Lytechinus pictus: one gene and its partners. The protein of the gene in region 3 interacts with the protein of the main gene of each other region in a biochemical or structural test. Links are inferred from orthologs where the notes say so. Each region holds a gene or a part of one and is shown on either strand. Other genes may lie near its edges.

Evidence for each region. The genes of interacting proteins can lie anywhere in the genome.
Region 1: the proteins of transcription factor Jun-like (region 3) and cyclic AMP-dependent transcription factor ATF-7-like form a complex in vitro, tested with the Homo sapiens proteins (4 studies listed by BioGRID and IntAct, with this or other methods). The link is inferred for Lytechinus pictus from reciprocal best matches to the Homo sapiens genes JUN and ATF2.
Region 2: the proteins of transcription factor Jun-like (region 3) and peptidyl-prolyl cis-trans isomerase NIMA-interacting 1-like form a complex in vitro, tested with the Homo sapiens proteins (2 studies listed by BioGRID). The link is inferred for Lytechinus pictus from reciprocal best matches to the Homo sapiens genes JUN and PIN1.
Region 4: the proteins of transcription factor Jun-like (region 3) and F-box/WD repeat-containing protein 7-like form a complex in vitro, tested with the Homo sapiens proteins (3 studies listed by BioGRID, with this or other methods). The link is inferred for Lytechinus pictus from reciprocal best matches to the Homo sapiens genes JUN and FBXW7.

The regions. Positions count from the first base shown.
Region 1 is NC_087247.1:50,736,467-50,744,152, reverse strand, and holds the start of cyclic AMP-dependent transcription factor ATF-7-like, read left to right. Parts: upstream 1-4,665; 5' UTR 4,666-4,902; coding exon 4,903-4,970; intron 4,971-7,686. UniProt on the Homo sapiens protein: Transcriptional activator which regulates the transcription of various genes, including those involved in anti-apoptosis, cell growth, and DNA damage response.
Region 2 is NC_087259.1:1,859,527-1,867,399, reverse strand, and holds the start of peptidyl-prolyl cis-trans isomerase NIMA-interacting 1-like, read left to right. Parts: upstream 1-4,852; coding exon 4,853-4,961; intron 4,962-7,255; coding exon 7,256-7,438; intron 7,439-7,873. UniProt on the Homo sapiens protein: Peptidyl-prolyl cis/trans isomerase (PPIase) that binds to and isomerizes specific phosphorylated Ser/Thr-Pro (pSer/Thr-Pro) motifs.
Region 3 is NC_087255.1:21,057,259-21,064,309, forward strand, and holds the start of transcription factor Jun-like, read right to left. Parts: upstream 3,011-7,051; 5' UTR 2,715-3,010; coding exon 1,779-2,714; 3' UTR 1-1,778. UniProt on the Homo sapiens protein: Transcription factor that recognizes and binds to the AP-1 consensus motif 5'-TGA[GC]TCA-3'.
Region 4 is NC_087249.1:44,557,746-44,564,663, forward strand, and holds the start of F-box/WD repeat-containing protein 7-like, read right to left. Parts: upstream 3,022-6,918; 5' UTR 2,730-3,021; intron 1,243-2,729; 5' UTR 1,215-1,242; coding exon 1,116-1,214; intron 137-1,115; coding exon 1-136. UniProt on the Homo sapiens protein: Substrate recognition component of a SCF (SKP1-CUL1-F-box protein) E3 ubiquitin-protein ligase complex which mediates the ubiquitination and subsequent proteasomal degradation of target proteins.

The sequences.
Region 1 (7,686 bases), on a different chromosome or scaffold from region 3:
ATAAAAGTTGTCAATAGATACACAGGCTTTTTGGTTTTGTTTTGTGTTGAAATTGTGCTTATTATTTTCATGGATTGTATTGTGGTTGATAATGGGCGTTTTTCATAGAGAGCTAGTGGTTTGAAGCTATGTTAGGATGCTGAGGATAAGATCAGGTTTCACTGCCCATGTTGCATGATGCACTAAATATAGCTGCGTTTTCTTTTCCGAATATTTCTGAATAAAAAACGAGTGTACGATGATCAAAACGAAGAAGATAATTCTCAAATCGGAAAGTACCCGAGAGCAACAAAACCTCTGTACCCGGGGGACGTTGTTTACACTATGAGAAAACCTACTAAAAACGACAACGCCTGAGTATTCATCATGTTCATTGAAAATAAAGAATAATAAATTAGTTGCTATTGGTACCCATTCTTTTGTACGCACAGATATCGCCCGACGATGAAACTTAAACCGGTTTTCTTGGTTTTCTTGGACAATCATGTTTTGCATCTTTGAAAGGAAGTGGCTCCCCCGAACGTATTATGGTACAGGGGTGTAAAAACGTCATCAATCACGTGACATATAATAAAAAACCGTATTTTCTTTGTAATCAGTTTCAACTTTTTTAATTTCAAGTCAGTGATATGTAAGTTAAACCATTAAGTGTTGTATCCATGTATTTCCCCCAAAAAAAGAAAAATGCCAACATAAAAAACGAGCGTTATTTAGTGACGACAAAGATTCTGCTAACGAAAGTTCATGAAATGTTCCGAAAAGCTTAAGATGTGAAGAGCGCCGCACACGGCGTTCCACGAACAGGGCGTCAAGACGCTTGATCCGTTTTTATCAAAGGACCTTGAGAATCCCATATCTGTAGAAGAACTTTATAATGTTGTCAAGCAGCTAAGCAAAAATAAATCTCCTGGTGGGTGTTTCATAAAGCTGTTCGTAAGTTAAGAACGACTGCTGATCCCGTCTTGCGGTAAGCGGTAGGCCTATATTGAATTGGCGATGGTTTAGCGCGTAAGAAAGGATCACCAGTCGTTCTTAAAGTCACTCTTAACTTACGAACAGCTTTATGAAACGGCCGCCTGGTATCGATGGACTTACCTCTGAATTTTATCATGTCTTTTGGCCCATGCTCAAGAATGATTTTCATGAAGTTCTTACCTCCTCTCTTGAATCTGGATTTTTACCATACTCTTTTAGGAGGGCGGTCATTACTTTGTTCCCCAAAACAGGAGACATCGCTGATATTTCAAATTTGCGTCCCGTCTCCCTCCTCAATACAGACTATTAAATTTTTGCTAGGCTGCTTGCCAGTAGGCTAAAATCATGCATTGATCAGGTTATTGGAAGAGACCAAAGTTATTGTATCCCCGGTCGTTCTATTTATAACCACATTAATCTCATTAGAGATATTTTGTTCTATGCTAACATTGATAATATTCATTTGGCTGTATTGAACTTGGACCAGAAAAAGGCATTTGATAATGTAGATCATATCATGTTTATTTATTTAATGTTATGAAACGCATGGGTTTTGGAAGTAAATTTATATCTTATATACGAACTTTGTATGAAGGGGTTGAAAACCTTATTAAAGACAGTGTGTGGATCCCTAACAACTCCCTTCCCCTTAAAGAAAGGAATACGACAGGGATGCCTTTTATCAGGGTTGCTATATTATAATCTCGCCATTGAGCCTCTCATTGAGAGAGCACGTGTCAAATCATGCCTTAAATATTCCTGCTATTAACAAACCATGTGTAGTATCTGCATATGCAGATGATGTATCGATATTTGTCACAGCCGATGCCGGTTTTGAATTAGTTGAACAAACTTACAAACTGTTTAGTCTAGCCTCTGCTTCTTCTTCTCTATAAGTACAGGCCACCGTCTGGCGTATTGTCGTACTGCATGTTTGAATACAAATAAATCGCAAGGCCTTTGGGTCGGCCGTTGGAAAGGGCGGAATGATAAACCCCTTAACTTCTCTTGGAATAGTGAAGGTCTCCCTTTTTTAGGAGTTCATTTAGGGAACACAGTTAATTATTCTAAACAAAACTGGGTTAAGTGTAAAGAAAGACTTAATAAGACTTTCCTATCGTGGTCTCGTTTATCAAACTCACTCTCATTTAAAGGCAAGGTATTGATTGCGAAATGGCAGCTCGCAGCATCAAAAATATTTCATTTTCTTGCAGACCTTTCTCCTACTGAAAATATATTAAACGAACTTCAGAATTTAATTGTTAAATTTGTCTCTACGGTCAAAATATGCGGCACTGGTTAAAGAAAGAAGTGTTGTAAGAAAAACCTGACGAAGGAGGGCTAGGGTTAGCTTAATTGTCTCCAAGCTCGTGTTCTAACTTATAGATTTTCGATTATTCAACGGTTTCTTTCTTTAAATTCTCATCCAGTAAACGACATTATGGCTCATTTTCTTAGACAATATTGCAAACTAGGTTTTGATTACCAATTGTTCTTTACAAGAATTGATCCTAAATTTTACACTAGGCTTTCAGTTTACTATAGTGAAGTTTTGCGAGCTTGGTTGACATCTGGAGCTCGAATTATGACACAATCCCTCTCTTTTAGCCATGCAATAAATTAACATGCCCTTAAATAGTATTTATATTATTGATGCAATTGATGTTGATAATTTTTTTCCGGCGCGCCTGATGGCATGCGGAGTGAAACTAGTTCGCCATTTGATAAACCCCTCAACTGGTCTTTGGATTGAGAGTGGCTGTCTCCAAAAGAACTTTCGAAGATTTCGACAACCATCATCGCGTCTCATGAACGTGAAACATTACTCATACGAACTGCACTCTCTCAAGTTTTCCCTCACTCAGGCTGTCAACGCAAAACTCTGATCTATTAGCTCCAGATACTCCAATCAACTTCACTCTGGCTTCTTCTGAAATGGACTCATTGCTTCTTCTAAAGCTACAGGAAAGAACTTGATAATGTGACGACCTCATCAAGCTCACATTGGCATGATACTGGTTTTCTCGATTCATCTACAAAAGTGAACTGGCTGTATATTTATCAATTACCAACATCTAAAAAAGAGGCTGATATTCAATACAGACTCCTGCACAATATATCAGGGGCCGCAGAAGCGGGGGGGGGGGGGGGCTTCAGCCCCACTTCAAGTTTTCCAAAACCGTGTACAAAAACGAAAAAATGACCATTATGATTGTGATTATTTGTATGGTCAGCCCCCCCCACTTTTGGCTCAGCCCCCCCCCCCCCACTTTGAAAAACCATTCCGCGGCCCCTGTATACTACCGTCGCTAACTATACTTCATCATCTTGATACAGACATTTCGTCTTTTTGCGGATGGTGCGGAGAACCAGGAACCATTCAACATCTGTTTATTGAGTATATAAAGGAATCCAACCCCGTCTCAATCTTCTTCATAGACTTTTGAACAATCTCCTTCCATCTCTTAAACTTAATTTTGACTTATACTGGGCTCTCATTCCGCATGCCAGAGGACGTGACAGAAAGGTTATACGCCTTGCAAATTTTCTTATCATCAGTCTAAAAAGTACCATTTATTCCATGTATCGCACCTGAACTTTCACTGATCCACTAATTGTTTGGCTACATCGTCTAAAAAACAGAATTTTGTATGAATTCTCTTGTTAAAAATTATGCTCCAATATCGATGCCTTCTTACGGAAGTGGTGCATGAATAAATTACCATTAGCGGGGCAGTATTGCATGGCTCATATAACATTTGGTTTTAATTCTGTGTTTGTAATAAACGGTTGAAAAACTGTGCTACCTGATTTCCTTTGAATGCTCATGTCAAACTATTTTTTTATTGCAGGGGCCGCGGAATGGTTTTCAAAGTGGGGAGGGGGGGGGGCTGAGCCAAAAGTGGGGGGGGGGGCTGACCAAAAAAATCACAATCCTATGGTCATTTTTACGATTTTGTACACGATTTTGGAAAAAAGTGAGGGGAGCTAAAGCCCCCCCCCCCCCCCCCCCCCCACTTTCGCGGCCCCTGTATTGTATACTTGACTTTTGTGATTATAATTTGTAAATAAAGTTTTCATTTGAAATGTCAAAAAAGTCTTTCTTTCTTTCTTTATCTCTCTCCCTCTCTCTTTCCCTTTTCTCCTCTGTCCTCCATACATGAATTTTCCGACTGCCATGAATGTTTTTTTTTTTGGGGTGTCACACTCCCCCCACAGCTATGGCACTGACTTTAGATCAGTTCAGTGCTCCTTTCGGGAGCTTACGTATACGTATTTTATCTCTGTACTGTGCATGCAGGCTAGAACCACGAACACCATGGACAGAACTATAAACGATCCATGCGTATACCATGTAACCTCACGGGCACAGCATTGACCATGTAGTCTGTGTTTCAGAAGTTCATAGCATTTTAGAAAAAAAATGAAATCAGTGAATTCGAGGAGCAGTCACTTCATTTTCTCAATAAAAGATACACACACATTGGTTTTTTTCTCATTTGTGATTAATCTATTTGGTATTTCGTATGGAATTTGAATTATGAGAAAACATAAAACAATATTCTGGCACTTGCTGAGGGGCTGAGTCACTGCGATCCAAATAAAGGGGAATTTCATGACGTCATTGCATTAGGAGCGTCGCTCCGGCTCCGTACGTACGTATATCAATGTACATACGGTCTCGTGACCATTACTAACTTCGCCATGTTATGGAAATGGTGGTAGTGGCTGCTACACGTCATTCTCCGAGAATAAAACATCTCGTCATTTTCAACCAACGTGATTCCTCCTCGCTTATAATTCATCAACAGCGGGTAAGTTGGATGGACAACCCATCAACAATAACAGTAGAGTAACAAAATAGTGATTTTGACCTGTGACAAGCAGATGATTATGGGTATTAAATAAATCGTCGCCGGATTCACAATGGTTGTGGGTGATCAACGGAAGGGGAAGTTGACTAGCGATCGAATGCATGGACATAACAGCTTTGTGTATGTATTCCAATTACTAATAGTAGATTTGTAGAGCCAGGTTCAGTCATTCAGTTTTAAAATTAATAAAAGGGCAGACGTAAAATGGCAGAGCCAGATGTAAATTAAAAAGAGGGGAATACCAGGAATGGCTCCCCTCCTGAGTCCTTGCTAATTGCTTACCATTACTTACTTTGTCATTTGATTAATGTGACACTCATTCAATGAACAAGGTTATGAATATGATTATAAGTTACCTTGTTCTCAGTTACATTTCTTAATCTTACATCTTCATGTGTGGCCAAATAAGGTTGGCAATGTTTGGCTTATTTTCACTTTTTCTTTGGGACAAATGCTTAATTTTTTACACTGTCAGTTTCCATTACAGCTATTCATCATATATAACTCACTCATTCAATAAACAAGGTTATGATATAACCTTGTTCTCAGTTACATCTCTATGTGTGGCAAAATAAGGTTGATAATGTTTGGCTTATTTTCTCTTTTTCTTTTGGACAAATGCTTGATTTTTTTACACTGTCAGATTCTATTACAGCTTTTCATTATATAACTTGGCTCTTAAGTAAATTTGATTCTTTAAATTATTTTTTCTTCATTTAAAATAGAGCTTGACAAATGAAAATTTTCTTGCCATATTACTTTCCACCAATAGAGGGCGTACACAAAAATATGCCAAAAATTCAAGTTTTTGAGCGCTCTGGTCAATACAAAAATCATTCTAAGTTACTAATGAAAATTGAATTGCAACTGTATGGAAATTAATAATTTTGGTCACAAAAGTGATATTTTAATGATTTTTTAAAGTGTGTGCTCAAGACAGCATTGGCATACCATAGTCCTACCTGTAGATTCTCCACAGGCAGGATGGTTGCAGTGAACAAGTGATATAACTTGGCTCTTATGTAAATTTGATTCTTTAAATTATTTTTTTCTTAATTAAAAATAGAGATTGAAAAATGAAAATTTTCTTGCCATATTACTTTCCACCAATAGAGGGCGTACACAAAAATATGCCCAAAATTTAGGTTTTTGAGCGCTCTGGTGAATACAAAAATTATTCCCAATTTACTAATGAAAATACTGACGTCACGGAGCCCAGGGATGGAATACCATTGCACTTCACGCACCGCCTATTTTCCAACGCTGCAACTTACTCCAAATCGCACATTTTATTTAGGGTTTTGAGCCCAAACTTATCATTTTATGTAGATCTAGATCTAAAAATAGGCTACAAGTACAATATGAATATCATTATCAGTTTGACCCTTTTGGCCAAAATTGTGGTTTTTTAATACAATTGCACTTAAAATTTTAAATACATGAAAATATTAAAAGTAGAGGAGCGTTTACTCGTAGTCTGTTATTGTCGCCATCTTGCCGTATTTGTTATAGCCTAGCTCATTGGCCACAACGACAAATCGTCCATAGACTGTGTACAAAAGATAGATCGTCTCCGCACAGCGATTCGGAGACCGCTGATTGGTCAATCGCGCAGATCACGTCATGACTACGTGGTCGCCAAAATAATTCCTTTGGACTTCGTGCGGAAGTATCGATAGCGATAACGATATCCGGTCACGTTGTGTACGCGGGAAATGGACTTGGTTCATGATCGGATCGCTCTGGTATCGATCGAAAATTATTGAAACTCTGCAATTTCATTCATATTCACGCGACGCTCCGAAACCCGGAAGCCAATTGACTTTGTGCACGCTTGCGATAGACTCTACAAATTCCAAGGAACACGATGCCATACCGACGCTAATTCGTAAGATTTTGACGGAAAAGCAAGAAGTAATTGAAATTTGCTTACCTGTGCGGTATCGGTGAGAAAATAGATCCTCCGAGAATACCTTTCATAATTCATATAAAATATAAGAAAGTGAAATTCTAGGTCGATTTAGGTACGAGGTGATAGAGAATTGCACACTTGTTTTGGTGGAATACTGTGTGGGGAAATGGAAGGCTTGCACTACGCATGCTTACTATATTTTCATTCATAAATTGGCTCTCGGCAATGGCTGGATGACGTCATGTAATAAGCAAAATGTACACGACCACTAGCGTTGAACGCTCCGCTATCCGTTGTACACAATTTGTCGGTGTGTTGGCCTAGCTACAAGACGCCTATAGAGGGCGACAATATCATGAGCAGTGCTAACTTAGATAAAAAAATACTTGCATCAGCCGATAAATATCATGAATCTTACCTCAATGCTAAATGCTCAATTTAGGAGTGATTGAGGAGGGTGCAAAAGTGCACCCTTTCTCCATAGGCGCTGTAGTTAAGAGGCGGTTGTTTGCTCCACCATTACGAGCCCAATGGCCTACATTGGTCTATTGACGGAGGGGATGCCGCGGAGCCATGCAAAGTCTCAGCGAAGCATATCCCTGAAAGAAATAGACCTACACGTATTTATCAGTCTAACCATAGTCCTACATTCCACACAGGCAGGGTGGTTGCACTTAGCCTTGAGGACTCTGTGATCATATTTTTTATGAAATGATATTGTCATTTGATCACAGAGCCTTGAACCGCCTCCCATAAGAGACACATGTAAACAAAGATGGATTTTCCTAGGAAATCCATCTTTGAAGATAGAAATCACGTAAATTTCTATCATTTTATTCAACTATACACTTTCATACGCCTAATGCGTATGAAGGTGCAAAAAGTATGTTAATAAGAAGGTTAAAAATTAGAGGTTTCTTACCA
Region 2 (7,873 bases), on a different chromosome or scaffold from region 3:
TGGATTTTTGGGAGAGACCAGACCTATGGATATGGGGTAGGCGCTCATTTATCGACGATGGTCATAGTCAATAACAACACTCGTATTGGCCTTCGCAAAATGTGAGCAAATAGCATTCTTTCCTCCTCCTTTTCTCTCTCACTCTCTCTCTGTCGTTGCCTCCTTTTCCGCCATCATATTTAACGAAGAATACATCACTTCTTCACTCGCTGAGCGCAGCTGAGCTGAGAGGATTGCTGCATAAGACTTGTCGAATTCGGCGAAAGTGCTAGAGAAAGGAGAAGCCTACATGTATTTGATTGCATATCGCGGGAAGTTATTTAAAAGCGCGGGCCGTTGAAACTCCAAGATCCGAAAGTGCGCATGCTCGAAATATTGGGCTTGTTGGGCCTCGCTCGAGCAGGAATCGCTCTTCTTGCGATGGTGGAGACGGGGTTTCTTGAATCTCGAGATTAATCGCGAAGAGTGCCGATCGGGCTAAAATCTCGAGATTGAGCAAACTCGGGATGTGCAGCACCGCCTTATGTGACATCATCTCTGAAAATCTTACATTTCTTGGGACTGACCTTCAGTCTGTTCTTAGTAAGTGCTTGAAGTACAAGTTCTAATTGTCGCTTATGGGTATTCTTGTCAGGGCTAAACAAAATGATATCATCATGATGGCTATGCAAAAATTCCTAGAATTTGGTATTGTACTCAAAATATCATCTATCTTAGCTTGAAATATTCCTGGTGATACATTCAATCCTTGAGCTAGTCTCTTGTAATAGTAGTGTTTACAATCAGGGTACTAATGGATAATTCGTTTTTCATTCCCGATTATTGCAGAGCAAAAACGGAAATCAACCTCATGGTTCGGTCTTTGAAAACACAAAAACGAAATCACAACGAGAAAAACCTGTTGTGATTTCGTTTTTGGAGATCAAAAACAGAAGAATGAAATCAGAAATACTTTTGGGCTCTTTCTGATTTCTCATTCTATACTTGTGTTTGTTACATATCAAAAACAAAATCAGCACACGCTTTCCGCTCCGTGATTCTGTTTGGAAAAACGCAGACAGCGAAAACGAAATCGGAAACTCACTTTCCACTTCCTGCTCTGTGAAGGTCCGAAAACGCTGGAAAAAAGCCATGTTAACGTGAATTTTTGTTGCACGTGGTCGTAACATGCATGCGCTGTACTGCGTGCACGTGTGTATAACGATCGGAAACGTAGAGAGCGCTCTTTAATATACATGAAAGAAAGGACAACTCGGCTCAGAGACGAGCGGAAACCGTATTTCGATACGGCTGCTAGCTGTGCAAAAAACAAAATCACAGAGCAGGAAGTGGAAAGCGAGTTTCCGATTTCTTTTTCGCTGTCTGCGTTTTTCCAAACAGAATCACGGAGCGGAAAGCGTGTTCTGATTTTGTTTTTTATATATAACAAACACAAGTATAGAATGAGAAATCAGAAAGAGCCCAAAAGTATTTCTGATTTCATTCTTCTGTTTTGATCTCCAAAAACGAAATCACAACAGGTTTTTCTCGTCGTGATTTCGTTTTTTGTGTTTTCAAAGACCGAACCATGAGGTTGATTTCCGTTTTCGCTCTGCGATGATCGGGAATGAAAAACGAATTATCCATTAGTACCCTGATTGTATTCCCTGTAATGTAATGTCGCAACCATTTAGAACCATCTCTGATTGGATAGAGAGGATATGACGAATCACATGTTCAGCCAATCATCATCTTACGTCGCTGTACTAACACCAGATTACAGAGCTCGTGATGCGCATTGCAGTGGTTCACCATTTCGACGTTTGGCTTCATCGAGTGAACATTGCCCGGAACATTGTGTAGGTGTCCAGTCAATAATCATTGATTAACATCATAATCAGATAGATCATAGAGAAATATTTCTGGTTTTGTTGTGAAATAAAGATACAGCTATGGAGAGCCTGTAATAATCATCTTCGGAGCACCAGTGCGGAAGAGTTATGTTCAATCATACATCTTTCTTTTCACCCTTCAAAAATATACGAAAAAAGACGTGATTTGTGGGAGTTTCGTTTGATCGCAACGCTTTCTGCGATCGTTCCATACTTTCATCTTTGTGATGATCAGATGTGCAATGATTCCTCAACCACATTGATTTACAGTGTGGGAACTTCCGGGGGAACTTATTCGATGTCACTTTGAAACATGCGGTTAGTTTTCCTGCTTTAGAATTTAGATTTAAAAATATATTTCTGTATATTCTTGGTTGCGTTTGAATAATCATGGACAAGTTAAGGTGGATGGAATGTTGGTACGTCTCTACATGATGGATTGATGATCAACTCAATTTCGAACATGTGAGTAGAAACTGCTTGTGTATAATTTTGATTAAAACTTATGATCTCTTCACAACATAAAATAGCGGTAGAATGTCATAGATTTCTGCTATGTACACACAGTAAATCGCGTGTTGTATTTTATTTTCTATTGTTTCTTGTGAGCGAAGTTATTATTTGCTTTACTGTTTATGTTTTTTTACCTTTTAATTATTGCACTTGTTGTAGTGCCTAGCACTATTAGCCATAGAACTAGATAAATAATCTGAAAATTGTAATTATACAATCATCATGAGAAGGACCTATTATTATACACTACTCAAAAAAAGTTAAGGACCACTTTTTAAAACGTACATAAAGATTTTATACAAGGTGTTTTATTTCTGGAAATACCTCAGTACAACTGTCCTAAATGCCCTTAAACACGCTGTAATCAATTTCACGCATGGGTGGTTTCAGTTGTTGCACAATGTCTCTCGCATCACTGCACATCCTGAAAAGTGGGCCCCGAGGGGTATCAGCTACCGACATGAAGTGGTAAAAACGAATGTCTGAGTGTCTTTCAGGCAGTTCAGTAACGAGTGTGACCACCTCCTGCAGCAATAACGGCTTCACAGCGCTGTCTCATGGAGCTGATGAGGCGATTGATGTCTCTGACGTCCAGTGCATCCCATGCAGCCTCCAGAGCCACACCCAGCTGCTGCAGTCCAAGTGGATGGGCTTCGAGCTGCTCGAGACTCCTCCCCATCATGTCCCAGACGTGCTCTATCGGGTTTAAGTCCGGGGACCTCGCTGGCCACTCCATACGCTCAATCCCCTGGCCCTCAAGGAACTCGGTCACCACCCTAGCTCGGTGGGCACGGGCATTGTCATCCATGAAAATGATGTTTTGTCCCACATTTTCTGCAAATGGCACCACTATAGGTTCAAGGACCTCATCCCTGTACCTCACTCCTGTCATTGCTCCCCCTGGGACCACGTAGAGACGAGTACGGTTGGCGTAGGTGATGCCTCCCCACACCATGACGCTGCCTCCCCCATAACGGTCATGTTCTGCAATACAGGGGTCTGCAAATCTCTCTCCTGGTCGCCTCCAGACTCTCGAACGTCCATCATTGTGGTCAAGGGAAAATCTGCTCTCATCTGTGAACAGAACTCTACGCCATTGCTGTCTGGTCCATCTGACATGCTCCCGGGCCCAGTTGAGACGAATTCTTCTGTGAGCAGGGGTGAGTGGGACACACTGAGCTGGCCGTCTGGCATGCATATTGGCTCTGTGAAGTCGGTTACGGATTGTTTGAGTGGAAACAATCACTCCAGTTGCTGCAGCGAAGTCATTGTTGAGGCGGCGTGTACTGTGAAAGCGGTTGCGGAGGCTGAGATTCGTCAAGTAGCGATCATCTCTAGGGGTTGTCGAAACTGGTCGGCCACTGCGGGGTCTCTCGGAGTATAGCCCTGTCTCTCGGTGTCTTTGATTTGCTCTGCTAAGTATCTATGTATTCAAGTTTTCCTGTAGGCATAAGCCCGTATCCGCGTATCAAAGTTTCTAATTGTATCCACGTATCCAACTATCCAAAAGTATCCACGTATCCGCGAATCCAAGTATCCAAGTATCCAATAGTATCCATGTATCCAAGTATCCATGTATCCAAGTATCCAAGTATCCAATAGTATCCAAGAATCCACGTATCCGCGTATCTATGTATCCAAGTATGCAATAGTATCCAAGTATCCACGTATCCGCGTATCCATGTATCCAAGTATCCAAGTATGCAATAGTATCCAAGTATCCGCGTATCCATGTATCCAAGTATCCAATAGTATCCAAGTATCCAAGTATCCAATAGTATCCATGTATCCAAGTATCCATGTATCCAAGCATCCAAGTATCCAATAGTATCCAAGTATCCACGTATCCACGTAATTCGCGTATCCATGTATCCAAGTATCCAAGTATGCAATAGTATCCAAGTATCCACGTATCCGCGTATCCATGTATCCAAGTATCCAATAGTATCCAAGTATCCAATAGTATCCGAGTATCCCCGTATCCATGTTTCTAAGTATCCATATCCAAACATGTATGTAATATAATAGTATCCAAGTATCTTTGTATACATGTATCCATGTATACATATCAACGACTATCATTCCTTAAATAACATTTAAACATAATCAACATAAATATATACCAATGCACATATCCTCGATCACGCGCCCCCTCTTTCATTCCTTCATATATCTTCCCTTAAAAACTCCTCTGATTATCATATCACCTGACATTACTTCACCCCTCCTTCTACATCAACCATATTGGACAAGTCGTGTACCCCCCTACGGGACCATCCCCCTCCCCCTCTCATCCTTTATCCATTTTCCGATCTATCTCCTGCTTGACGCCGGGGCCTCTTCATTAGCTCACGAACGTAGAGGGCGACAAAACTACTATCACCAAGCCTCTGGCTTACTGGCTATCGCACACCGGCAGCAGCAAAGCAGCGATTAGGAGGTAAATTGGTCTCATAATCGATTATAACATGACATTGGATTCTAAAGTTACTCCCTCGTTGTGTACAAAGTCAATGCCAAAATGGGAATGGAAAGATGTCACCACCGCTGACGAAATAAACGGCAGTGAATGGACTGGTGACATAAACCACGATAATGCCAGAGAGTTTAACTTGCCAGTCTTTCCCCCCGAACCAAACGTTGATCTTCCTTCCGTTGTTGCTGTAATTAGGTGGTCTGTCCATGCTGTCTCTGACGGATCACCTCTTAATTTCGTCAATTTTCTTTATTTATTTTTCGCACCTATGTTTGTCGCCAACTTTTTTCCGAATCGGCTATATCAATTTTGCTGAATTTTTCGTCATATATAATGTCTATCATAGAGACGCTCTACTAAGCTTTTCAAGGTCATCTGGTCATGATGACGTCATCTACGTGCCATTTTGTAAATTCTTAATTTGATAATATGTACATAACGGACAATCAATAGTCAATCATATTTACGTCATCAAATAAACTTTAGGTCGAAGGTCATCAGTCAATGCCATCAAAGGTCATGACGCGCGCGTCAAAATTGAAAAATGCTCAAAATGGCCTATAATTAATTTTGGGTACGTTTCATTAATTTTTGGGTACTATTCTGTGTATTTTGAGGGAAAATACGTTTTCCGTTTGAAATGCCACTTTCCGTTTCAAAAGGCCCTTTCCGTGAATTCCGTCCGTTTTCCGCGATCGCGGAAAATCACTGTCCCTACATGTGCACATATATGTGCGCGCGCAAATTTTTAAGCATTTCAAATTTGCGCGCGCGCATATATGTGCACACAGGGCTAGTGGCTGAAAATAGGCATTTTTAAGTTTTCATGCTGACCTAGACTGTTTGAGCCTCTGTGAGGAGCCATGGAAACATGTCACATTGATAGATAATCAACTTGGCTGCTAGAAAATGTGAAGATGTTGCTACATTTGTTACTACATTGTTCACTCAAAATATAGAATGAAAATTTGAGGCAAATTCACCTATTGACTTAAAATTCTTTTTACACATGTCTACAGCACAAATCTGGTGCCGTTGCCCACCCTACCCCTGGCATAATATCTATTGAGTCTAAGTTCAATAATAATTCCTGTAAATGCTTAATTATTCAGTATAAAACTATTCACTTTCAAGTAATATACCGGGTATTTCATGATTAAACATTTATAGGCAAATTGAACTATGCAAACAAATTATGAATACAAAAGTCTTTGGTTAAGACTATCCAGTAATACTCACTTGAAGTCGCTTGTTTGTTTCAGTAGATTCTTAGATAAGTAAATATTTATAAAAAAAACATAAAATACATATCAATAAATCTCATATGCTATTCTAATTAATGACTTTGCTCTTGGTGTACAAAAGTGTCATATCAAGATCAGTCTTTAACACTATCTACTTGTATCAAGAAAATCAAGTTATTAAATATTCATCTTTTAGTAATTTATACATGAAATCATAAAATCAAAATGGCAGATTTTCCCGTAAATAGGCAAAATACGGAAAAGGAATGGGTAACTTCGTCCGTCTGACATAGGGCTGCATAAATTCCAAAATATGATAATATTCTCAATTTTAATGTAGCCCACAGGACAAGAAATGTCAAATCATATTCTCAATTCTCTGAAGTCCTTGTAAACGCAATAACTCCAGTTTATACACTCCAGTTTATATCATACACACCAAATTATAGGAGCCTGGGTTAGTCCCAGGCTCCTATAATTTGGTGTGTATGATACTAGGAAGCCTTTTTAATTTGAAGCCAGAAAGCCATTTGATTTTGAGGTCCAAAGGTCAAGGTCACTGTGACATGTTTTCATCTTATCCTTCTGAAGTCCTTGTTTACGCGATAACTTTAGTTGAACTTAACCTAGGCTCATATAATTTGGTGTGTATGATACTAGCATAGATCCTAGCAATTCTATTGATTTTGAGGTCAGAAGGTCAAAGGTCGCCACCTACTTTTCTTGCTTGACCAATAACTTCATTTTCTGCATTACAGACGGGCGTATTATGTGCTTGCCTTAGCGAAACTCTTTTTAGTGTAATCCAAAGACAGTCAAAGTGTATAAACTGGTGATTAGACAAAGTTATGATTGGACCAAATGGTTGTTAGACGAAATTTTGATGGACTAAATGAAGGTAGATGGTGTTGGCAGTAGACGAATTGGCACTTTCCCTCTAGGGCAATATGGTTTTGTAAAATTAATATATAAAACAGCTCAGATGTCTGATACTAGTCATAATGTAGAGCAATGAAAAAGTTAATGATATGCTATGTGCATACTTTATGCATATCAGATCACTTATAACGCAAGAGGTGACAAATTTTACAATGAGGACACAATAGACATGAAATTTGCATTCTTTTTTTTTTCTAACCTCAAACATACAGGTAAACCATACTATTTTAAAGCTGCTACCAAGGAAAGTCAATGGGAGAAACCAGCTGGTCCTCCAGCCAATAAAGTTCGCTGCTCCCATCTCCTAGTCAAACATAGAGATTCTAGAAGACCTGCATCCTGGAGGGATGACAGGATCACTCGCTCAAAGGATGAAGCTCTTCAAATAATAAAAGGCATGTATCCATTCGTTTATCTTTTGGCAGTCTCTCCTCCATGAAATTCCTTTACAACGTTTTATGATTTGGAACCTTAATGAAATTAAATCTATGAACGTAGGATTAGCATGTTATATTTTCTTGTCCAAAGTCACTAATTATGACATTTTCCGTAAACGGAGGCCACCATATTCATCACCACAAAGGGTATATTGCAATCTTGTGTGTACAAGTCATACCATTGGCCTTACAAAGATTGCTTGTGTCAAACATAGATTGAAGGTGCCAATCTTTGTAAGAGACAGAATAGAAATCAGAAAAGATATTTCATAGAGAAATAAGAAATTTATTTCCCATTAGATTGATAACACTGATAAAAAAAGGTTTGAATTTGAATTCATTATCATGAGAAACATGAAATGAATAGAATGCCTAATGATTGTGTAGAACTTG
Region 3 (7,051 bases):
TTTTTTCTTTCAATAATTTTGTTTTTACAATACATTGCATGACAAACTTCATAAAAACGAAATAATGGCAATAAAGGTAAAATGCATAACTAATGCACATGTATTAGTTGATGCATCTTTATAGAAAAAACACAAAATTGATTTGGAAGAAAAGATCTAATTCATTCAGATACATGTAGGTATCATACAATGAAGAATTGAAAATATTACCCAGCTTTCAAATGAACACAATATTCACATGACTTTAAATGGTTAAAAACATGAAAACCTATTATTGCAAGTACATTTTATTGGAACATATTCCAGCAAAGATACAAAAATTTGTAACGTCAAATTCTGTGCAACACGTGGAGAATACAACAGAGTTATTTTTTTAAAGAAAACGTTGTTCCAGAATCTAGCATGTGAATAATGGGTCAAAAGAAACTCATGTATGATTTAATTAAATAACAGATTATTCTTCAGCAGTGTTTCATATTTCGCCTTCATACATGGATTGCTTATATTAATGAATCACAACCTTTCTGTTTATGCCTATGTCATAGACTCATCAGGCAAAATGTTATCTGTCTGAAGTTGTATTGCAAGAATGGCGGCATTGGTAAATACAAAAAAATAAACAAAACACCGACCACAGGTGTCCACAGGTGTCGTAGATCAAAATGCGTAACTTTTACTGTAAGTTAAGAGTCTAAAAGCTTTGGTGCAGTAATGTGCAAACAAGTCGCAAAATATTTTATTTGGCCTCCCAATGGTGTGAGCTGTTGAAATTGTTGCAAGATTAAATTGATAACACAGATGAGCTACATTGCATTTGCAGCCATTTCTGATGGTCAGTGGTCATTACAAGCAAAAAATAAAGAAAGCTGATTATTTCCTTGCACACAATGCTTTCGTCAAATGTACAATTGGTAAAAAATAAAATCTGAGGAAAAACAAGAAATTCATAACACAAGACCATACATTCTGTTCGAAATAACTTCTCAAAACCAGTATGCTTCTTTGAAAGACAAAAAATTTTCATACGAATATTCACATCATAAACCATTTCAATGTACAACTTTATAAATTCCTCGCAGTTTCCTTCAAAAATTTTCTCACAAAAAATTATTTGACTTTCCTTCCCTTTTTTCTTTTGAATAAAGGACCATCCTACTACACTGGACTTCAAAAGACTAAGCATGGACAAGTACAATTAAAATTTGGGCATTATAAGTGAGTTTACACCAAATGACTGTTACCAAAGTACTGACTCAAAATTACTGGGCAAGCTAAAAGACAAATTGTCATTAGGTTACTAGGTTTGATGGGTTTATCAAATCGTCTTACTGGGCGGAATAAACAAATTCTCAATTTGCTCTGCATTTTTAGACATGTACAGTGTACCTACACAGAGATTGATAAATGCAGAAGATTATCAATTCCATACAACGAACATCATGGACTTGAGATATTTGAAAATCAGAAATAGGAATACTGGGGATCCTGCCCCAAATTTCTGGTAATTTTGGATATAACCAGGTCGGAACTACTGAATGAAAGTAATTTTGTATCAGCACTATAATATTGGGAACTGCAAACCAGCACAGTAAAATAGATTACATAGGTCTATACATGTCTTCTAGGTCAATTTTAAGATCTCAAAGAATATGAATGCAAATACAAAGTCCACATCCACAGTAATGTTTGTTTCGCAGGCCTCGAAAGTCAATAGTCTGTAGATCACTATTTTCAGTTATGAATGTCAGTGTTTCAAAATCATCTGCAATTATTCCAGATTAAAAAGCCAGTTGTTGTGCCAACATAACTTGACATCCACTCTTTACGTGTTCCATCACACTCTGTTTCAAAGCACAAACTTGTTCACGAAGCTTGGTTGCTGTAGTCGACAAGTCTGTATTTTGCGTTTTCAGGTCCTTCACTTTATCCTCTAGCCTGGCAATTCGCTCAAGCTTGCGCTTACGACATTTACTGGCGGCAATTCGATTCCTGAGCCTTTTCCTCTCAGCCTTGATGCGTTCTTGTGTTTCCATATCGATGGGGGACATGGGTGGGTTAGTGGTGGCGTGGTACACCGGGACGGTCTGGGGCTCTTCGCACGCAGGTTCTTGTTTGATACGTTCAACACTCGTCTGCCATCCGCATGTGATGGCTGTAGAGTCAGTGGGCATAGAATTACGAGATGAAAGGCTAACGGTTGATCCAGGCAGTGTAGTCGTCGTAGGCATTGCAGGGTTGTAAATCGATGTCGCAGCTGTGGTCATACTAGAGATGGTGGTAAGGGGGTTGAGGACCTGCTGCTGCTGGTAGGTTGTTATTGGATCACTTAGGTCCAGCTGGTCAACCGACGATTCATCATCGCTCACCACGGACTCGGAGTCCCCCGAATCATTCCGTTGGTGAAGGCTCTGGAGCGCCTCGACGAAACCCTGGGCGAAGGCGGCTTGCTCTTCGGTAACGTTTTTCGGGCAGATAAATTGAGTAGGCGTTGGTGTAGTACAAATATTGCCTTGCTGAGAAATAATCATTTTTTCGAGTTCAGGAGAAGCGAGTTTGAGCATCTGAACGTCTGGAGTCGACAGCACAGCAGCCGTAAGTTTGCGCTTGCCCGTGTCCAAATCCAGAGTCATGCATTTCTTCTTGCTCAGCCACGGGTTATGTGCATCTTCGTAGAACTGAGTCTCCATCTTTTTGCGACCGTTTTCGGCTGACATACAAACAGTTATGAGCTTTCTCTTGCTATGAGCTACAAGTCTGAGTCACAGGTCTCGAATTGATGTGGCAAAGAGGGAGATCCTGTAGTTGGCCAGGTAAAGGATTGAGAGAATTCTCTGTCTCTTCACAGTGCAAAATGAAATGATCGTAGCATGAATTTCCGATACCAACGCTGACTCACTATATATACACTGACTAAGGATTCCCAAAATAGACGGAAGAGCAGTGACATCAGATTCTCGAATAACGATTGGTCGGCGATGATGTAAGACGTGTGTTTGGCAATGTCATCTTGCGATCTGATTGGTCGATCCCAAATGTCAATCAAAGCACGTGCAGTGCTCTGGAAGTAAACGGTAACCCCTTCGACGACTCCACTTTTATAGTAGGGATGATATATTCCAGTGTACATATCAAGCGTATCATGATATAATCACGTTATAAATTAAAGAGACAAATATAATTCCTATTCAGTTTTGGTTATTGAATAATATATCTTCTTATTTTGATACCTTTTATCTCGAAGAACTTTAGATGAAATATTATCTAAATGGTGATATTCTATTGTTTTTAGTTTGAGTTTACCCGTAACGATGTGGACGCATCCAATTACACGTCACAATCTTTTTCCGGGTAATAGAACCAACCTCGCCGGAAGAGGTCCTTCATTTCCATAACAAAACATGCATAAACCTTGATTTCGCTACGTCACAAGTAACAACCCCTTTTTCCTTATATGGTATTGTTGTGGAAGTGAACGAGATCAATCAGGTGGTAAAAAGGTGAGACTAAATTTTGTATGTTGCTTGTAAGTTACTCTTAAGTTATCACTAACGTTTCAAGATGGAAATAAGTGGATGTTTGTGCTAGTAATAGTATTTGCTGTTTCAGTTAGTGTTGGCATTGGCATTGCTCGGCCTAACTCACTTTTACTTTAAAGTTTTAGTTCATAAAATCTTACTCTTAGTTAAAACACGTGCAACTGCAATGCTATTTCGAACACGTTGAGGTGGTGGGCATGCCATGGCATGGTCACATTCATGGACATGTCATGGACATGGATTTTCCCATTATTTATGCAGTCTAGGCCTATCTAGTATAAATCTCGATGTACATGTCTCTCCTGTTTCATTTGCCCAAATGAAGATCTAACGTTAGACCTAGGCTTAAAAGTTTTTAGAGGCAGTGACTGTCTTTTGGGACGATTCAAAGATAAATGCAAATAAAAATAGGGTCTAAATTTTTTTTTTTTACCCATGGCCATGCATGATTGAAAATAAAGTTTTGTAACCTATAGATCTAACGTTAGGCCTAAATAAAAAAAAATAATAACCTAGCCCAGGTAGGTAGAACAAAAAAAAGAAACAGCATTTCTACTAAAAAGCATTAGTGGCTAGATTTAAGAGTCTAGGCCTACCGTAATATTATTATTAGCATTATTATCAGAGACATTGCTCAAAACTTACCTCAAAATTTCCTAAATAGTGAAAAACAAGGCTTAAATACTCAATAAAAATATGTGCCTGGAAATGCATGTAGCATAATGATCCATTCCTATAAGCTATACTGTGTGGGATAGTGGCTAAAAATAGGCATTTTAAAGTCTTTATGTTGACCTAGACTGTTTGAACCTCTGTGAGGAGCTGTGAAACGTGTCACATTGATAGATAATGAACTTGGCTGCCAGAAAATGTTAAGATGTCGATACATTGTTCACTCAAAATATAGAAAGAAAATTTGAGGCCAACTAACCCATTGACTTTTTTTATACACATGTCTACAGCACAAATCTAGTGCCATCATAGCCTAGCCCTTCTGCCTAGATCTAGACCTAACGATAGGCTAGACAGCCATCTGTTTCAAGGATTTAAAAAAAAAACTTGTACTAGATCTAGATCTAATTGGTGAGTGGAGCCAACTAGTGGAACTCAGAGACCGAAGCTTGTGGTCTAGATCTAGAGAGCTGAAATCTGTCTGGTGGAGTTTTAAACATATAAAGCATTTTTTTACATTTTGAAATTTCTCCTCCGTTTGAGTGAGTGACGGTGGCAGTGTCAGTCTACACATGGACTGATGAAATTGGAGGAGACGGTGAAACAAGACATAGCCAAGTGCAACACTGACGAACAGAGACTCAAAACGGCAAAGCTATTGGTCTAGAATTTAGACTAAGTTTGGCCTAGTTTAAGCCTAACCTTATTTATTAAGGCCACCGCACACCTTACGACCCGATTGGTCTGCGACTGGCTTGCGACTGAGTGAGGGGATATGAATCGCAAGGTAGCCATAAGCCTCGACACCGCACACCTTGCGATCCGATCCAACTACCAAGCCGACTACCATGCTGTCTGCGACTCACGCATGCGCTTTTTGCCATAGCAACTAAGAAAATGCGCTTACTACTGCATATGCGCGTTGTATATCATATACGCGTCGTGCAACTCTGCTGTCTGATTGGCTGGAAGTTGGATTGAGCTTGCGATCCAGTCGTAAGGATTCGGCATGTCAAATCCTTCCGATTATCCTTGCGACTTGTCTCTGACCGGTCTGCAACTATCAAGCTGACAAGAGCTGTGACATCACATCTCCCCTCACTCAGTCGCAAGCCAGTCGCAGACCAGTCGGGTCGTAAGGTGTGCGGTGGCCTTTAGACATGACCTGGCTAGGGCTTGGCCCTGGCCTAACATTAGACCCTACACTAAAGTAACAATAAGGTATGATATGATAAGATATAAGTATACTGTTTTCTAGGGATTGTTGATAAATTAATTAAAGTTTATTAACTCTAAAGTCTAGTTGAATAAAAAATCCCCAGAAATGATAGCAGACTTCTATTCCTGTCTAAGACCTAGATCTAGCCTAATTTCTAGTCCAAATACTAAAATAAAACAAGTTTGAACTAAATCTTTTCAACTTTATCTCTAACTTAGTCTTAGACTATGATGTAAGATTTAGCTTTTGGAAGTAACAAGGTCCGTACAGTATGTCATATCTGTGTTCTATTTATAGATGATAAAAAAATGCCATAGACCTTAAATCATTTTTTAGGGTACAATAAAACTAGGGTTGACCACCGGATACTGCCATTTTGGTGTCTTGAGTACACTGAAGCGAATATCCAGTACTATGGAGTGGGTTTAAATGAAGATTAAAGATGTCACTTTAATGGTATGTGGCAAGCAGATCTACACAAACCAATTGTAATGCTGTTTTGGTCTGTAGTAAATCCAAACAACACCTGTGCTTACTTCCTTTAAGATGGGCTTCAAATCTCTAGTTGTCCTTGTTTCTAAAGGTTAAGACTACATTGTTCTTCAGCTATTGCTCATGCCTGTTTACACCGTACTAGACATGTTTTTCATCCGGTTTCTTCAACACTTTGAAAAAAGAAAGTTGTTTGCTGCAAAATTCTGTCTGCCTTGAACACTGTTTAATCAATTGTGGTTAGATTTATAGATCTGTACTGTTATTCATTTTGTTAGATGTAAGACAAGCAGCTTACTTATTGACAATAGTGAATGAAGGGTTTATTGGTGCAGTGCTATTTTGGGTTGTTATTTCATTGTGCCTATTTTTTCCATTCTGGGAAGAAGGGAGTTTTTATCCTAATGGATTTCATAAGAACTGCTTACACTGTTATCACAACTTATTCTTTGGTATTTTATTTTATTAATAACATCTATTCAAATTTTGTCTACCAAGAAAAAAAAATGGATTGACAATTGATTTAAAGGTCAAGTCCACCCCAGAAAAATGTTGATTTGAATGAATACAGAATAGCATAACACTGAAAATTTCATCAAAATCGGATGGAAAATAAGAAAGTTATGGCATTTTAAAGTTTCGCTTATTTTTCACAAAACAGTGATATGCACAACTTAGTGACATGCAAATGAGTCAGTCGATGATGCCCATCACTCACTATTTCTTTTGTTTATTTATTGTTTGAATCATACAATATTTCATTTTTTACAAATTTGACAAAAAGGACCAACTTGACTGAACCACATAGTATTAAGCAATGCTAATTCCATGTGTTCAGGGAGAAATAATCATTGTTTCACTTGACAATGAGGAGAAAATTAGAATATTTCATATTTCATATAATAAGATACAAAAGAAATAGTGAGTGGATGGCGTCATCTGTCTCCTCATTTGCATACGACCAGGATGTGCATATAACTGTTTTGTGAAATTAAACGAAACTTTAAAATGTCATAACTTTCTTGATTTACATCCGATTTTGATGAAATTTTCAATGTCATGCTTGTTGGATTTTTCTCTTTTTATTTTAATCAACTTTTTGTTGGGGTGGACTTGTCCTTTAAGGTGTAAG
Region 4 (6,918 bases), on a different chromosome or scaffold from region 3:
TAGAGGAAGGTGTTGACTGAGTCCTATCATCATGGTTCGTACGGCACTGCAGCCGGTTCCTATTCATATCCACCACATTGCTCCCGATACCAGGTACTGTGATCAGGTCCTGGATGCTGTTGAATCCCCCAGAGGCCTGCAATATTACAAACACAAAACATGTATTTTAATCTCAATTTACTCTCAAAATGTTTGAGAAAACAGACATATCGTTCATGAGATATCCAAAAGAGTAACATTGCAATTACTATTGCAATGGGGCAATCAATAAAGAATTGCCAGCTTTTTCATTTTCTCACTTCCTTGAAAACGAAACACAGCACAAGACGAAAAGACAGTAGGGGAAAAAAATCCTGTTTTACTACTCTCACACGGAAGAGCACTCACCACTGGATATGACACAACTGACACAAAGGGTGTTTTTCCAAAGCCATCTTCTATTCCTTTGAGCAAAACACTAGCTCTAACACAGATCTCTCACTAAAAGTCAACTCACTCTCCAAAATAAAGTACCGAGAAGCACCAGTATCATGCCCCACTTTAACATTTCTTGCCTCTTCACTACCATATTAAAGAAACATGTCTTACAAAGATCAACTGGGAAGGAGAAAGGGGAGGGGAAGAGGGTGTCCCAGCAGGAAATATGAGATTGCTATCATGCACTATTAATTTCGCATCCTAAGCCATTTGACACTCACAGTTTGTACGATTACCAGTTTTCAGACAATATCATACATATTTCATCAGAACATACTAAGTCAAAACATCAAATTAAATTGATCTTTCAGAATTAAGAAAAAAAAAAGGATTACAAATTTTCTTTGTAGTCCAAAGTTCTACAGAAATCACAATACTTTCAAGGTAATAAGAATGTAAAGATGCAAAACGTACATTTTCAGCAACATTTGAAGAGGGTCCCCCCCGCAAAAAAAAATTGTTGGTTAACCCTTATTGCCTGTCTAGGTATATATTTTTTTTTCATAATAAACGTAATGACTCAGGCCTAATCCTATCATTAGAGTGTAGAACATTGCTCCCTGGAAATTCAACCCAATCTGTAAAACTGCAGACCAAAATAGATTATCAAAGCTTGAACTTGTGTGAACCATACATACCTCTCTATGCTGGACGATAGCTTCAGCTCTGTTCCTCCCCACACCGAGTAGAGATGTCAGGGCATCTACATCAGCAGAATTGATGTCTACCTTTGCCATGGTACGGGAAGACTACCTTTTCTCTCAGCTGAATATCACAAATATAACGGGGGCAAAAAAAAAACATGCACTGAAATAACAAGTTCCATTCCAATTCAAAACATGGAATGGTAGGAGCAGAAGCATGTACATACAGTCTTTACAGTCATAAATGCAACTCACACATTATTCAGTGAACCCAGAGCTTGCGAGAACTTAACGTATCTCACTCTGTCATGACATCAACACCTTGCACTCGCAGCAACATACTTAATCACTTTGGATATTTTACTGGATGCCAATCTTTTATATCTTATCATGAAAAAAAAAATCTTGGATTCTTGGGTGTACATTATTTGTTGGACCTTCAGCCTTCTAGCACTAAGCAGTTCTGGACAATTGACTGAAGAATCAATGATTTCTAACTAACAGTACCGTAGATCAAGACATCCGTTCATTAGACAATTTCCACTGGAAATTCTCTTTTTTTTTTTGCTTTTCTTAATTTTTGTTCAAATAGGGCCTTCAACAACTAGTCTGGAAAACCTATATCTTGACCCTATCAACAAAACTGGCTCAGCACTGCCAACAAAGTAAGCTCTTTCAGTCTTTGTGACCGAGTTAGATAGCTCAGCCTCAGATGGACAGTGAAAGTGAATGCACACAATAAATCTAATGACGTGCACATTTTCGAAGAGATCCTGAACGCAGTAGAGGCGCTGGTCAGAAAATTGGGATCGTCCCAGTATTACAGTAATTACAGGGACTGTCTTCAGTTTTCAAAGATTTCTCCACAAAAGAAGTAGTATAGAGTTCATTCACCTGGCTGAAATAAGTGCCGACAACTAAACAAGTGCGCTAGTCAATGTTAACATTACCAGATTTCATAACAAGATTATTGGAAGATGGCAAGACGTGAATAATAGACGGTGAAGTGGGGGAACTAAAGTCACTTCATCTATTTTTTAAATTAATTTTAGCACTCTATTCCCTTAGTCGCTGTCTACACTCTACAAGACTAGTCTACATATCTTGCACTTTTTGCAGGCTGCAGAGTGCAGGGCCAGGGTAAGTGGAAAAAAAACCTGTCCAAATTAGTAATAAATAACGACAATTTATCAAGACATGATTGATTTGTCTTTGTTGATGAGGATATCCTTGTTTTTTCAGGGACAATCCCAATTTTTGGATCAACGACAACGGCCTCTAACGCGTTTAACTGGAACGCCGCGTTGTGAATATGTGATTGATGGAAAATCATGTTGTTACGTGCACTCCCACTCCCAGGCCATGGCCGGGCATGGCCATGCAGAGCACTCAAAATCAAATTCAAAAGATGACTGGGTTTTCATGAAGAAGTTTGGTGCAATTTTTTAAGATAAGATTCATGAAAACTTGAAAAGCGTTTACAGTTTGATCTAAACTTCACAAGTTTGGAATGACTGATCACGCATAATCATCACACACGTCATACACGTAGGCATACACATTAACCGTACCGCGCCGGGTACGCGATGCGGTAGTACGGTACCGTACCTGTGCTGTGCTGCAGCTGTGCGGCTGCAAAGCCGGCCCCAAGGCGTTTCGCACTGTCGTCAAGTCCTTCGGGAACCACAGGATAGCATTTCCTGGTCGAAAATTTCATATTTTCACGTAAAGCAACTTCTCATTAATGTTATCATGATCGTAGAAATGTAGTAAAATGAAATAAAAGGTGCAAAATGTAGAATATCTGCTCCTTTATGAGGTCTACTTTGTAGTATTTTCTTCTGTGTACGGAGGAGCTGATAGTATCATTGAACGCAATTAATCCATCTTACATTACGTTGCCAATTTAAGGATCCTTTATAATAGCGATCTCCAAAAATTTCTTATCTCTGATATGAAACTGATGAACGACATGTATACTGAATTGATAATAATAATAATGATAATAATATTTGACTGATCATAATAATGAAATGATATATGAGAAAATAAAAAATTTGATAAGAAAGTAAATTTACATCTTATTTTTTGCTCGGATTTCATAAAAAACTTTTCGTGTCAATCTCTTGGGGATACGATTGAAATAGACCCCAAGTTTGGGTTATTTCAATTCGACTCATCGTCGCGTCTATACTACCATTGATCTATGCGCATAGTCTCATTGCCATATTGTCCACTCACCATTTCGTATAATTAACCAGTTGTTCCAATAGCCCTTTAGTCCATAAACCATTTGGTCTAATTGGATAAGTGTTATTGGGCGAAATGAATAAAAGAAAATGGATATTAGACCAACTGCTTATTAAACGAAATATGGTCAGGGATGAACTGGTGATTAGACGAAGTGATTATTGGACCAAATGGTTATTAATTGTCGATCACTGATAGACGAAATGTTGATGATGGACGGAATGACAGTTTTTTTAGACTAAATGAAGGTTGACCATGTGATGAGTAGACGAGTTGGCAAAAGACGAATCGGCAGTTAACCATCTCTTGGTAGCATCAGAGAGAGTTTTTGGTCGCATGTTGGAAAACTTTGTGCTCCTTTATATATATCAGCTATGACTTCCATATCATGAGATTTCAACCCCCCCCCCCTCCTCCGCCCATCTATCAAATTTGAGGGGATTTTCAGAGTTTGAAACTTGAATGACATCCACAATTATGCCTTAGCCAACTTCACTGAAGTATAAGTTATAAAGGTGAAATTATACACCGTAACTTTCGTCATTAATCAAATGAAATAGGGGGTCTACAATAAAAAAAGAAATTATTTAAACAGCACGTACATGCAAAAAGAGAAGATGGATTACACGTGGGCCTATGCGAGAAGTCTCCGTGGGCATCAACGAGTGGGGGGTAGCGCAGCGCCCCCTCCCCCTCTCTCAATGAGGGACCACCAGAAATGTGGCAAAAGATCATGAAGATATGAAAGTGAAAATAGAAGAATGCACTCTAAAAAGTGAAGTGCTAATTTAGCACTTAATGTCCTTGTATAGTGACTGCACTTTGAGTGCTGATCTTTTCCTAGTTCAAATTTGAATGAGCACTCAAAGTGCAGTCATTATACAAGGACAAATAAGTGATAAATTAGCACTTCATTTTTAGAGTGTAGAAGAAGGAGGAAGGGAAATAGAAATGTAGAAAGAAAACGGAAAAGAGACAATCTAATTTGTTTTCTCTTTCACCTTTTTTCTCCCCATTTTAGCCTTCCTTACTCTTCTTAGTTCATGGCTCCCCCTCTCTCTTTGTCTCTCCCCCTCCCTGGCTTCCTTCTTTCATGTACGTTTATTCTCCCAACAGACGTGTTTGGTGACGAAATTTGCCAATAAAATTTTAGACCAATCCTGAATAGTGGCAGGGCTTGGTCGTATCATATTGTTTATCACCTTTGCAAATGTCCATATAAAAAATATAGCTTTCACAAAACTCATTTATTCTTTATTCTCTGTGAGATCCTTAACATCACTAAAATAGTGGTGATGGAGTGTTTTTTAGTATATTTAAAATCCGTAGATTCATTGTTTCGTTGGCCAATCTTGAAACTTTATGTTGAACGGCTTTCGGCGGCTCCAAATTAAGCTTTTTCTGATTAAAAGTATCGGATTATCAGTGCGAGTTGCGGCGATGGTGAAGTTGATCGAAATTTCACTTATATGATACTCTGGTTGTGTTCTTATATTTATTTTATTTTATTTTTTACTCTCAGCGAAGTTATGCTGTTATCATGATTTTTTTTCGGGGTGATGAAAATAAATTTATTTTGATGTAATTTTCTAAAGAAATTACATTACATGTATTAAAAAAAGGGTTTGGCTGCATGCAGCATTGTAGAAACATGATTTCTTCTTTTAAAGGGATGGTTCAGGCTGGAAATATTTATATCTCAATAAATAGAGTAAAATTCACAAAGCAAAATGCTGAAAATTTGATCGAAATCAGATAACAAATAACGAAGTTATTGAATTTTAAAGATTTGCATTATTTCGGTGATACATGCAGTTCTAGCCATGTCTTTGTGAATATTCATTAGGTGGGCTGATTATGTAATTTCCCAACTTTTTCTTTTGTATTTTATTCTATGAAATAAGGTTTATTCACAATAATATTTTTCTACCAAGAACTAAAACCTTGGATTGACAACTGATTTAGTGCATTAGTTATTCTTGCCGCAACAGCTTATTTCATCATAATGGAGACACATCATTTACACATGTATGAAATAATGTAAAATTTATGATTTCATGTAAAACATAAGAAAAGGGAAAGTGGGGATGTGAAATCATCAGCCCACCTAATGAATATTCATGACATGTGCATAAAACTGTTTCCACAAAATATTGATAAACTTTAAAACTCAATGACGTTGTTATTTGTTATCGGATTTTGATAAAATTTTCAGCATTTTGCTATGTGAATTTTACTCTATTTATTTAGATGTAAATAATTTCAGCCTGAACCATCCCTTTAAACTATCATCCCCTTGATACACACATCTTCACCATATGCACCACCACTAAGCAGCAATTACAATATTATGGTTCACTATCACTTCTTAATCTTATTCAACGTTTACGAATTTTGTTTTAAAATCATATTTTATTTATTCCTCATTATACATAACATTTTAAAATAATGAATAATACCAAATCATTAACATAAATATAGAAGGAAAGGAAAGAGAGAGAGAAAAAAAACGTTTGGTCTACGATCGTCGCAGTGCGCCCGTAGGGTGATCGTATAGGCACATCCTATTAATCGTATTCTACAGTGCGTATCAAAAAAAATTTACACTTTGAAAAAATCCTGTAAAATTATACATTTGTAATATCCTGAACTCTTTTCCACATTTTAACTATGGTACAGGTCCATTTAATCAAATGACGATATAACTGTCGAAAAATATTTCCGCTTGAGTGAGCACCACTTACTTTTGAAAAGTTAGTGAAAAATGATTTGCGCAGAACTTTGAAATAGTTATGCGAATAAAAGTAGACCTTAATCATGAAGAACACGTAGAGTTTAGCTATTAAAATTGATTTGAAGATATTTTTACCTTTTTTGACTTGTTTCCTTGCCCAAAACACTTCGAAGAGAGCATTACACCCCACTCCTCTCCCCCACACACCGAGGCCATCGTGACGATATTTGCTTTACACTGAGCTGTGATTTACATGGAATGGCTTAAGCTTGATTTTCATTTTGTTAATCATTACCAAGCTTGGGAAAAATGTGGAGAAACATGTATTAAATGAGAAATGAAATGTAAACCCACTTTCAATGATAAAAACTGAGTGAAATAATGCTGGAGATGTCTGATTTAAACTTTTGTTCAGATTCAGTTATGTCCTCAGATCCAGCTGGCACAAAAAGGGTAAAGGTTGTGCTTACTAAGTGCTGAAATTTCGATTTGGGTGGCAAAATTGTTACAAAATGCTTGAATGTATCCGTCTTATTTCAACTGACTAAAAGTGCAAGGGAAATGTATGAGAAATGTTTCGCAGGGTAAGTTTGATTTCGCCGTTTCCCCTTAACACAGCGTGAAAACGAGCATTTCTGCGCAAACAGATTTCTGCGAGCTTTACAAAAATGGACAGTGCTCACTCAAGTGTAACATTCTGACAAAACTTTTACTTTCATTGGATAAGTGAGACCCAAATCCAAGATTATATGTGAAAAAAATTACCCACATGTTGTATATTTTTTAATTCCCAGGGCTTTTTCAAATTGTAAA